Drosophila melanogaster: one gene and its partner. Changing the gene in region 1 together with any one later gene gives a genetic interaction. Each region holds a gene or a part of one and is shown in the gene's direction. Other genes may lie near its edges.

The links.
Region 2: of Shaw (region 1) and qsm, changing one suppresses a phenotype caused by changing the other (phenotypic suppression), as found in Drosophila melanogaster (one study listed by BioGRID).

Annotation. Positions count from the first base shown.
Region 1 is NT_033779.5:3,719,698-3,727,618, forward strand, and holds Shaw (shaker cognate w), read left to right. Parts: upstream 1-1,638; coding exon 1,639-1,892; intron 1,893-1,947; coding exon 1,948-2,065; intron 2,066-2,125; coding exon 2,126-2,320; intron 2,321-2,655; coding exon 2,656-2,874; intron 2,875-2,955; coding exon 2,956-3,559; intron 3,560-3,938; coding exon 3,939-4,067; intron 4,068-5,186; coding exon of another isoform or gene 5,187-5,245; exon of another isoform or gene 5,246-5,499; intron 5,500-5,958; coding exon of another isoform or gene 5,959-5,981; exon of another isoform or gene 5,982-6,204; intron 6,205-6,981; coding exon 6,982-7,322; 3' UTR 7,323-7,890; downstream 7,891-7,921. UniProt on the Drosophila melanogaster protein: Mediates the voltage-dependent potassium ion permeability of excitable membranes.
Region 2 is NT_033778.4:20,580,438-20,585,341, reverse strand, and holds the start of qsm (quasimodo), read left to right. Parts: upstream 1-1,750; 5' UTR 1,751-1,992; intron 1,993-3,209; exon of another isoform or gene 3,210-3,312; intron 3,313-3,690; 5' UTR 3,691-3,708; coding exon 3,709-3,781; intron 3,782-4,904.

The DNA of each region.
Region 1 (7,921 bases):
ATTGTTCATTTAGTTTCATGCTAACACTTTTATCCTTTACTACTGCATTTCGGCTGTCAGGACGTTTCCGGAATTATCTTCTTGGCCGCAGCTGTAGCGGAGAGTACCCAGTACCCAGATACATTTGTATCGGTGCGTGCGAGAGTGTAAACAATGCAGCGCCAAAACTAAATATTGTTTAAGAACAAATATTTGCCTTTTGTGCAAATCACGAAAGGCAATTTCATTATTCCGTTACGTTCAGCTCCTTTTATATATTTTTTTTATTATATACCAAAAAATAGTATTTTTCGTGCCACTCTCCTAAATTGATGACGCTATCGATGATATGGCTCAACTATATTTAGTCAGATCTCGGAAAAAGGTACAATAATCATCGGTGGGATGCGCTTCACGAGCTGCTAATGGGTCAATTCAATCGAAGCGAATATTATTGCCTATTTTCCAATTAAATGGCCTTAGCTTGAGCGTTGGGTTTGTTGATTCTAAAAATTTATGCGGCGTAGAAGTACTCGCTAAATAAAGTGAATCCAGGCATTGAATCATCGGATGCATACATCAATTCAAAGAAAGCGTTACTTCTACCGATTCCATCCGGCACACTTTAATACATAACTGAATCATTTCGATTTGGAATAACTGATCTATGATCATTATCTTTTAGGTAAACAAAATTGCCCGGTATTCTTCCATAATCCGAAGATGTGCGAAATTTGGCCACGCATCTGAAATGATATGAAATATTTGAGTTTCCCAATGATTTGTATATCCCAAATATTGATTTAGAATCAATAATTTGTATGCCTTACTTAGCGAGGCGAGGTCAAGAGATTTGATCAGCAATTAATTATTATTAAAAATTTTTAAAGTAGTAAGTGTAGAAATATTTCCCCAAAATATATTACATTTTCCATGGGCAACCTCTAAATTAGTTGTTCCTAAAAATAGTTGTGCGTGCGTATATAAAAGTCGTTTTGGATATGCAGCACATGTGTCTAGGCCATTAAACTCATAATTATGAACCATTAAATTGAAGGGATCCATACGTCTCCTTAAAATGAATGTGTAATTACTTCACGAATGCCCCGAAAACTTTCTATACTAAATATGACTTCAACCAAAGTAAAAGAAAGAATTTAAAGTGGTGAGATAATATTTGTAAACCTTTCTATTGCAGCGGCATGTTGTCCAACTCAGCCCCAACGTAGTGAGTAGCTAGATTGCAAGGATCAATGGAGGTGTTTCTAACATCTGGGCAAATATTTTCCAGTGGTGGTACTAGGTCCTGAGGCCTGATCCCCATTGGGTGCCGAAGAGTGGATCGAAGTGGTGCCTTGACGGAGTGGTAGGCATAACTGCATAAATCGTGGGCAAGGACAACGAAAAGCATTCAGGTTGGATAGCGTAAAATCAGAACAATGAAGTCCCAAAAACCATAGAAAACATAAGCCCACACAAAACACACTCACGCAAGAAACATTAAGGTTTTAAAAGCACCTCAAGCAAAAACCACAAACAGAAGTTTTACTTTACCTATTACCTTATTTGTTTAATCTTAATTTAATTTAACAAATTATACAAAAAGAAACCGTTCAGCCTCACACCGTTTGGTTGGCTTTTGAGCTCTTGATCCAGACAATGACTTATATACCTAAAAAAATGCAACACTATGCGCATGCAGCCATGAATCTGATCAACATGGACTCGGAAAACAGGGTGGTGCTCAATGTGGGTGGCATTAGGCACGAAACCTACAAGGCCACGCTGAAGAAGATTCCGGCTACGCGATTATCGCGATTAACAGAGGCGCTGGCCAACTATGATCCGATACTGAATGAGTACTTCTTTGATCGGCATCCGGGCGTCTTCGCACAAGTGCTCAACTATTACAGGTGGGTGTCCTAGAATCCGATTGTTATATATTATTAACTTTTCACAATCGTACAGAACTGGAAAGCTGCATTATCCCACGGATGTGTGCGGTCCGCTGTTTGAGGAGGAATTGGAGTTCTGGGGCCTAGACTCGAACCAAGTGGAGCCCTGCTGTTGGATGACCTACACACAGGTTAGTGCCATATTATATTTAAAAATTCGTAAAATTAAAGCCTTATTTTATCTATTGCAGCATCGCGACACCCAGGAAACCCTAGCCGTACTCGATCGTCTCGATCTGGATACGGAAAAACCGTCCGAAGAGGAATTGGCACGCAAATTCGGCTTCGAGGAGGACTACTACAAAGGCACAATATCCTGGTGGCAGGAAATGAAGCCGCGCATTTGGTCCTTGTTCGATGAGCCCTACAGTTCCAATGCAGCCAAGGTAAGTCAAATCTATAGATGTTTATTGCATTCTATATTTATCAAAGTCTTTCATCATTTCCATGCAAAATTGCATGTGTCAGAGGAAACACTTTAATTCATTTTTCAATTAAGATATATGCATGCTGAACAATTTTCCGAATGAGTGAAAAATCCACTTTAAAAGCATTGTAATAAGTAATTATATTATTATATACACAAACGGCTAGACATCTATTTTTATTTCAAGTGAATGCATATCAAAGCATATAAGCACATTAATCATTCCAACAAATTTCTATAGATACTAGATTTATTTAATTATAATATTTTTACCAATTCTCGTCTAACTTCTAGACTATTGGCGTGGTTTCGGTGTTCTTCATCTGCATTTCGATCCTGTCGTTCTGCCTGAAGACCCATCCCGATATGCGGGTACCCATCGTCCGGAACATTACAGTGAAAACTGCGAATGGAAGTAATGGCTGGTTTTTGGACAAAACGCAGACCAATGCGCACATAGCCTTCTTCTATATCGAATGCGTGTGCAATGCCTGGTTTACCTTTGAAATATTGGTAAGAGATCAAATCAGAGATCATAACTGCTTAGAAACTCCTAGTAAAGACCTTTAATAAATATTATATCCTTTTATCCAGGTGCGCTTTATCTCATCGCCGAACAAGTGGGAGTTCATCAAGTCATCTGTTAACATCATAGACTACATAGCGACGCTTAGTTTTTATATCGATCTAGTGCTTCAGCGGTTCGCATCGCACCTGGAGAACGCTGACATCCTCGAGTTCTTCTCGATCATCCGCATCATGCGTCTGTTCAAGCTGACGCGCCACTCGTCCGGACTGAAGATCCTGATCCAGACGTTCCGGGCCTCGGCCAAGGAGCTGACCCTGCTGGTGTTCTTCCTCGTCCTGGGCATCGTGATCTTCGCCAGCCTTGTCTACTACGCGGAGCGCATCCAGCCCAATCCGCACAACGACTTCAACAGCATACCGCTGGGCCTGTGGTGGGCCCTGGTCACAATGACCACCGTCGGCTACGGCGACATGGCCCCCAAAACCTACATCGGCATGTTCGTGGGCGCCCTCTGCGCCCTGGCCGGCGTACTAACCATCGCACTGCCAGTGCCCGTCATCGTCAGCAACTTCGCCATGTACTACTCGCACACGCAGGCCAGGGCCAAACTGCCAAAGAAGCGGAGACGAGTGCTTCCCGTCGAGCAGCCGCGCCAGCCCAGACTGCCAGGTGAGTGGATCTACCTTCATAGTTAGTCATACAGCATAAACAAAAGATAAGGAAATTTCAATCCAAACTCAGAATATATAATCTATTCAATACGAATATTTTCTAGAAAATGCACAAGCATCCAGCTTTCATTTGCTGATTTATTGAAATTGCATTTACTATCCGAGACGTTCGAATATATCGTAAATTACGATTAATGCGAATATAATGCAAATAGAATCGTGTATAATAAATTAAGCAATGAGGCGTGTTTACAATATGGCGTAAATTATTGTAGTTAGAGAAATAGTGGGAATAGACGAGCTGATTATTACTATATATTCATAAATACTAGCTAGAATTTTGTTTACTTACTAATTGGGATTATTGTATCCTTCAGGTGCCCCTGGTGGTGTCAGTGGTTGCGGTACCCCGGGCTCGGGTCCCCACTCCGGTCCCATGGGATCCGGCGGTACTGGACCACGTCGCATGAACAATAAAACAAAGGACCTGGTCAGCCCCAAGTCAGGTGAGTCTCTGAGTGTCCTTAATGGAGTTACATCACACTGATTCCCGCAATCCAAGCAAAATGCAAGCCAAAGCTAAAGCCACCAACAAAGTACAAAATAAAAAGTAAAATAAAACCTATTGGAATCGAACATAGCTTCAAAAAGGCACCGCCAAAACCTAATGTCTTCCACTAAAAGTACTGAGGACGAGCAAACCAGCTAATACAAGTTCTTAACCTGTCTTAAAAAGCTCGCACAGCTGCACCCTGAAGTTCAAAAGTAATCGAGTTCAATGGATTAACTTTGCAATACACAACCCAGTTATAAATACTCGTTATCCTTTGTGCCGTCTCGCAGTTTCTCCTGGCAAATGAATATTAATAGTAAAAGATATTAATTTAAGAGCCCAGTAAATGCTGCCACGAAATGCGAATCTTTGCCCATAACGACCCCTGATTTTGGGTGCGCTTCCCCTTTTGGCTAAACTATATCCATTATATAACATATCAATCGTCGTGTACGTGTATATATGTACTCTATGTAATTACCATGCATTTAAGGCTTCTTTATTCATACTCCAGTTTTACAATTTCAAGCTTAGCTTTAATTTTACGCAAATCATTCAAAGGAAATTTAATGGTGTCTCATGGAGTTCAAGTGGAAAATCGATGGGAATGTTAAGGAAGAATTATTACTAGTCAAATAGAAATTTCTACAAATATTGTTTACCTTCTCTTAATTCTTTTAACATACTTATCGATCTACAAATTACTTGAACTCCAAGCGTAAAGCCAAAGACTCGAGTCATTTCCATATCATATATGTACTAAGCAGACCTTTACTTTTTCTTCATCCATCGAAGGCATACTTGTATATTGAAAGTCATCGCCTTTCAATCAGTTTGGGATGTACTTTATTCCATTGAGTCAGCAAAATACAAGAATATGTATCGCAATATATATATTTTCCCTTTCTTCAATCATTTTTATACCCAGATACGAGACTCTATTTTATATATGTACCTATTTCAACCATTGATTTTTGATATCTATGCTCCGAAACACTTTCGTTTACTTTAATATAATTTCATTTAATTGATAAACGATCCAATCCAAACCCCAAAAATCTTGTGTAAATAGATGAATATACAACAATGATTGGCAAACCGCGCGATGGCAAAAAGAGCAGGCTGCTCTAAGCCAACAAACACAACAGCAACAACATGAACCACGATACGACAACAACCACAACAGAACCAGATGAAGAACCCAAGAACTCCCCATACCATTACTTCCAAGCTAGAAATTGCAATGCGATGATGATGATACTTTCTGTATAAGAATTTGGCAAACTGATCTATGAGTAAACGAAGGAAAAGTTGAGAGTAAAAGAAAACGCAACCCAGGGACTGGATAAAGATCATATAGCGGATATAGACCAAATCGGATTGTGGTACGTGGATCTGGATGCCAAATAGCCATAGATATATGATTATTCGTATGGTTACTTTGAATATGGACGACGTCTGCTACTGATATCTACTGTTACTACTACCACTTCAAACTGCTATATAATCGTATATATAACTACAATATGTAATTTTCTACGTGTTTTCCTCTCTCTCTCTATTTCTCCACCTATCTTTACATAAGTTATATTATATTCTATATATATCGTGTACGTGTTGTTCTTCAGTTCTGGCTCGTTCGTTTCTTCGTTAGCAGTGTATAAGATACTATACTACTTTAATCAGATATGTAAACGTATCCTCTGTCATTCTCTATGTGTGCGTGTGTAACTTTGTGACCTTTCGTTCTAGTCTAATTGCCCCGAATCAGAGATCCCCTAGCTATGTAATTGATCGAAAAACTTGGAATATACTTTGTATTATCTCGAACTTTTGTATTTCAGATATGGCCTTCAGTTTCGACTAAAACAGAAAACAGAACAGAACCAGAAAGATATTTTGTAATTTGATAAGCCAGCTCAAAACACAGTATAAAAAAAAAAAACAAGAAAAACTCGGCAACAAAATCGAAAAAAAAAATCGAAACCAAATCAAAACGAAACCTCAGTTATATACGAAATAAGAAATCCCCGGTTCGTTCATCTATCATCTAACTATCAGCTAACCAAAACTCGGACTCTGCTGGGCGGGTGTGTGTTGGTTAAGAAACCTTTATTAACTACCCCTAACAACCTCCAACTTTCTTGCTCTCTTCCAACCCGAAAAATCCCCAACTAAAAGTGTCAAATAGTTGAAAAACTTGGAAACTAGTTCGTAGCAAGCAGAAACTCTAGAGTTTAGAGCCACCTTCACAAATCCGATTTCCCAGCATTTGATTCTACAAAGTTTTACCCCCCCCCCACTCTGCCTGAGTCCAACTTATCCAACCGAGCGGAAATCTTGGCCGAACGTAATTTGCAGATATTGTATCTAGCCTTATGTGTGTGTTTATTTGCCGAGCATGCTGCATGTGACCCGATTTTGACCTGAGTCTTGGAGTGTGATTAGTGTTTCCATAGTTGTGTGTGATGTTTGTAATCATGTTCGTGTTACACTTACCCCTCCCAAGAATACCACCACCACCAACCCTCGTATATCGTAGTAACCAAGTGCACCCAGTAATATACCATCAGCAATTTTGAAAAAAAATAAAAAAAAATAAGAAAACAAAGTTGCCTCCCACCTGCCATATGAAAATCAAAGTTTACCAGATTTGGAAACTCCAGCTTGACTAACCGACTTAATGAAAATAATATTTATTTCTCTCTCTCTTTTTCTTTCTCTGTTTTTCTCTTACTCTTCCCGGACTTCCCACTGCTATATCTATCTATTGTTTCCGGCTATATAACTCCACCTACTCCACCTACTTCCTATCCACCCGAAACCGAAACTGATAATCCTTTCTGTGGCGGGGTTAAAACAAAAAGTTGCTCAACTTTTCGCAGGTCCGCTGGGCGCAAGCATTGTGGCCATGAGTCCCCGGACAATGCTGGATCTCAATCCTGCCCTGGCGATGGGCAAGCCTACGTTTCAGCCCCGTATACCCACCCCCCTGGCAGCCACGCCCCCTCCCCCCGTGAGTTCCGCTGGGGGGATGACAGCGTCTGGAATTGGAACTACTTCAGCCACTGGAGCCACTAGTGCACCACAACCAGCAACACCACTACCCAGCATTGCGGTGTCCACCACAGCGAGTGTGGGCAAGGATTTGGGCATCTCGACCACCACCACCACGGCCCAGGAGACCAGCAAGAAGGCCTTCCTCTAAAGGAGCAGCCCAGCCAAGGATTCAGCCACCTGCTATTTATATTTATCCACGATCCCCATATCCTCCAATAAGCAATATCTATTCGATGTCATACAGAGCCTTCGCATACGTATTCACTAAGAACAAAGATGGTGTGTTTCAAAGTTAGCAAAAGGATCCTAACCTACTCGTATCACTTGAGATCGTCTTTGTTTTCCTCATATCATCACACACTGTGTTTCGCAAAGCCTCATATCGAAAAATATCGAAATGAATATCATATATTCACGAACGAGTCTACAATGGATCAGAATTAGCTGGAGATCAATCTTAAATCAAATATCGATTGTGATGCTATATTATGAAAAGTATTCTTTGATTTCAGAAGGGGTTTAGGATATTACTCTATATAAGCCATTTGACTGTTATTATATATTAGTTGCTTACTTTTATATATCGAATCCTATGTAATATCTCACACTGAAATGAAAAGGCCAATATTAAAGCAATACTTTGGTTCAAGACCAATTATACACCTAGCTAAAAATTACCATTCTGTTTAATCCAGCAATAAAATATGTTTTTAACCTTATATATTCGTACTCTAGTAATGATCTATC
Region 2 (4,904 bases), on another chromosome or scaffold:
TGGTACTAAGTACTTCGAGAAAGTTACCTGCGTAGGATATCAAAACTATCACTGCAGTTTCAGGCTTTTCCCAACTACACCTATTAATACATATTTTAACGTCCTATTAAAGTTGTAGTTTGGAAAGTTTTGGTTTTGCATTAGAAATCGCCACTCAACTTGGTTTTTTCTAAAATTATTTAGGTCCGTTTTGCATATTTTAGGTGTTTTACAAAATCTGTGTAACATACTTAATATATTTTTAGAAAACTAACACCTAAGTGTACGGAATCAAAAAAAAAAAGACAAATATGTGATATTTAAGCAAATTTGCCATAATCTCAAAATAGGAAAAAGTCTGTTATGCTTATATTTGAGTGTTTTAAAAAATTAGAAAACCCAATTTTAATTATTTTTAGAAAAGACAAAATGTGATATTTATGCTTGTTTTTGTTTGTTTTACAAAATTGGCATAACCGTCTTTTACCTATTTTTAGAAAACTAACACCGAAGTGTACAAATTCAAAATGTGATATTTTTTTCACATTTGCCATAATCTCCTTAAAATAGTAAAGGCTGTTATGCTTATTTTTGTGTTTTTTACAAAACTGGCATTCCCGTCTTACTTATTTTCAGAAAACTTACACCAAAGTGCACAGATTGAAAAAAAAAACACAAAAATGTGATATTTCATCACTCATCAACTCAAAATAGTAAATCGAAGGGCAAAAAAATATGGTATTCTGTTTGCTATTATAAAAGTTCACGAGCTAAGCTAACGATTCATTAAAATATGTACATACATATTTAAGTGTTAAAAAAAAATGTGTATCTCGCGAATTCCTTCGATTTCCTCGCGTTGCCGCCATTTTGAATATTCTCTCTCCCGAAAGTTGTAGAGTAGAGCAAAAACTTTGGATGTTTTGAGAGTTCGAAGTTCATACTGTCATCCCGCTCTAAACCTCTGCATTCCATTGTGTCCCGTTTTGTGATTTTTCCTTTTCGGGATCTTCTTTGCGTTCTTTGCCCCCGGCATTCAAATTCCGAGAGTCGTCGCGAGTGGTCGTTTGAAACGTATTACCCGACATCGTTCTAGCCAACAATTTTCTGCTGCGGATGGGGGCAGTACTGTTTTTTTAACATTGAGTATTGCACTTTTCACAGCCCGAAAATGTTAGCAACTGCCTTATACTAACAATTAGCATTTTTAAATTATTAGAAATGTGAATTAAGTTTGAAGCGATTTGGTTCGTCACAAGGGCAATTCTGCATTTTTTAACTAGTATTGCACTTGAGACGGCCTGATTACTTTAAAACGAATCATTTTATGAGCAAAGTAATTAGTTTTGTTGTGTTTTTAAACTCCTTGCAATAGGCGGCAAGACGGTGAAAAATCGAAATTTCTAGATCATTTTTCGGACGGTATATGGGTTAATATTTCATTTGTCGAATATATTGCACATTCACCGGCCTGAAAATATCAAGAATTAACATCGAAAAGTGAAAAAAAAGTGTTTGCGAAAACATAAACATTTGCAGGGCGGGTCGTGTGTCAGTGTATTTATATCTTAGCTATATTGCACACTTCCCGGCCTTTAAATGTCCAATGTTTCAACATTTAAATCTGTGAAATCGTAAAATTATAAAAATCCAGTTGCGCTTTTCTCGGAAATCCGCAATCCGTTAGGTGTGAGCGAGATGACAGCTGTTGCGGTTCTTCCCCATTCCTCTTTCGCTTCGTCACAGACTTGCCAGATCGGCAAATTGTGTGCAAAGAGGAACGGGGAACTTGGTTAATTTCTTTTGCAAGTGGCAAGTGTTTAATTATTACAATTTGTGCTTAACTTAATATTGGCCGATGCTTGAGCTAAATATTCCCGTACAACTGGTGCAACAAAGTAATAATAAGGCATTTTGAGTTGAATTTAGCAAATTAAATTAGTGCGCTCGGCTGGTTGCCTTTATTTTGCACGTCATTTACCGTTTTTCAAGAGGGCCAGTAGTGTATGGCCAGTAAGTATGCACAAATAAATGTTTCTAATCCGTTTAATGATGGGATGGCCATTGGTTTGGAAAACTAACAAGTAGGAGAATCATGAATAATGCCCAAGCACGCGCGAAATCAAGAGGTGTGAAATTGGGTTCACGGGCTGCGCCTTGGGCTCTGGAAAATGCAGTAGATGACCAGCTGAAGAACGGTTTTAGTTTTGGCGGAAGTGTAAGTGTACCGTTAGTACATATAGCGAAATATATAGGGAAAATATCCATAACAGCTGCTGCATTTAGCTCATTTTAAACTATTACTTCCCTGTTCTCATCTGTGGCCGTTGAGAACGAACCGGCAGTTCGTGCTGACAGCGAGCGCAATTACATAAATGTTTGTTTTGACAACAATAGCGAGTGCAACAAAAACAACAACAGCAAACGCAACAAAAAAGCCGGAGACGAGATTGCATAATTGCTTGTAAGATTTTGCTCCCACAATTTCTCAGTTTTTGTCATGGGACAAAAAAAAAAATTATACAAACTTACCGGCTGATTGTTATCTCCGGCAGAGAGCGGAAAAGAGCGGTAGTGAGAGCGATCCTTTTACCGTATTTTACAGCCTCTCGGTTAAGCTAACTTGCTAAAGTCGCTCTCTTTTTCGCCGTGCGACAGAGATGCTCCGTGCGAGAGAGCGACTTACAGTGGGTCATTTTAATTGTGCTCTGCTTATCTAAATGTATTCAAGTATATCCATAAATTGTAATGTAGCACTTTCGTAATTGCCGGCTTTATTTATGCACTGTGAACAGCCAGGGGCTAGATGGCGCCTTAGCATTTTTCCCCACTGTCCACGCTCTAATGCCTAAGAGCGTTGGTTCACTAGCTAGTTTATAGCTAACTTTTGAAAACTCCGTTTGTTAAATAATTATTCAACACTATCTTATTCAAAATTCTTAAAATATTTTCTAAGGATTTTTTTTTTTACCAATGAAAGCATAATATAATAAAAATGCATATAGATTTATGTTGCAATAATTCGGATAAAACGGCACACTTATCTTCTTATATACATACGTACTTATTACATTTCTTTTGGGTAATTAACCAATTGGTTAACATTGAGTGCTTTCACTATAGTTTTGCACTCTCTGCCATATAAGAACGACTTCTGCTCTGAAACTGAGTCAGCATCTCTATACGCCGGCTCTCGATTCCCGAGGTAATGAAGTTGCAGCCGAGCTGAGCCTCAGTTGCCTGGCGACTAGCGAACAGCTTGGACGTGTGGTGTGCTCTTCGGTGTGGTTTCGAGTCTCGAGTTCCGAGTTTTCCCCATATTGCAGCCGTCAAGTAAGACCCGCTCCGAGTTTTGTGTGAATTTGTGTGATATGTGTGTGGTTCGCGGCTCGTTTCGTTTTTTATTTGCCGTTGTCATTGGTTTTTGATTTGTTGAGCGGTCGCCGCAAGCCACTTGACGGGCATTCTCTTCTGGCTTTGTTTCATAATAACTCGCTGTGTGTGTTTGCGATGCGGTACATATATATGTTATGGTACCTACATATATGAATTGTGTCTGTGAAAACGTCAAAAAGGCCAGGCCAAGAATACAAATAACAAATAAAATGTTGGCCCGCTTGTGGAGCATGTGCCGTTGCTTCGGCTTCGGTTCGTTCGAAATGCTTGTAATAATATGCCGTTTGTCTTTCCGTTTCTACCCCGACCAATTAGATCCGGAAATTTTGGAAAATGCTGCTCTCAATGCAAATGTGGCGCTCTCTGTGGCTGGCGGCCCTATTCTGCGGATTAGCCCAGGCCAAAGGTAAGCACTTTTTCTATCTATATACTATACGCAAAAATTTAAATATAAATATCAGAGTTAAGATCGGGGAGTGCAAGGCTAAAAAGCTTGAGAAGCTCCCATAGCGCTGCCATGATGTCATTCGCGTAATGAAACACAATAAGTATTTATTTTTTCTTTTCGATTTTGTTGAAAAACCGACAAAGTGACCTCGTTTTTGGTCGTGAAGTGCACATACACACACAATTTGTGGCCATTTGGAGTGATGGTCGAATAAAACGATCTTCGGTTTTGTCGGGGGCGTGCTGGAGCTTTTTTTTTGGTAAAAAAACGAATGACTGAGGCAACGAACTTGCGGCGACTTAATGAAGTTTGGCAGCGCGGCCCTGTCATGATTCACTCACTCGTTCTTACGCTTCCTGCCATATATTAATGCTAAATTGTATAAGGCATATATCCCTCGAAAGCCCTAACACATTAGTCATTAACTTGCCTGCCCCTGCAAGTTGCCTTTAACAGCCAAGACAACAAACGACTAAACAAACTATCAAGCGAGCGCGGCGAAAAAACAAAAGACCAAACAAGACACCTACACAAACACAAGTGCTGGGAAGGCAACATGACACGCCAAAACAAAAAAAAATAAGATATTACAAAGAAATAAAAAACAAAGCACAGTCCAGCCAACAAGATAATATCGACGAGAAAAATACTTAAACAAAGCGAAAAAAAGGGGCAGTACTCATAATAAAGCCCACACTCAACTGGTCAAGAATCGGCTGGGGTTGTCTTATTAAAAGGCAATCAGAAAGGAGAATTAACTGCAAAAAAATATTACGCGAGAAAAAATGAAGAATTAAAGGCGAAATACAGCCAAAACGGGCGACAATCGACGACTTGTGTAGGCGAACTGGTCCCGGGAATTAAGATGCAGCCTAAAAATACATAAGGCCGATACGAAAACATCTCTCTCGCGGGCTACAAACAAACAAATAAATATATATATATGTACATATATAGAAACGGTGCAGACGAGGCTGTAATTTACGGACAAACCAAGCGAGACCGAGAGTCCGAGTTTCAGCTCCTCAGCGTTCTTCGGCAGCCAAAGCTGAAAGCTAAATTATAACTTGCCAACTTGCAC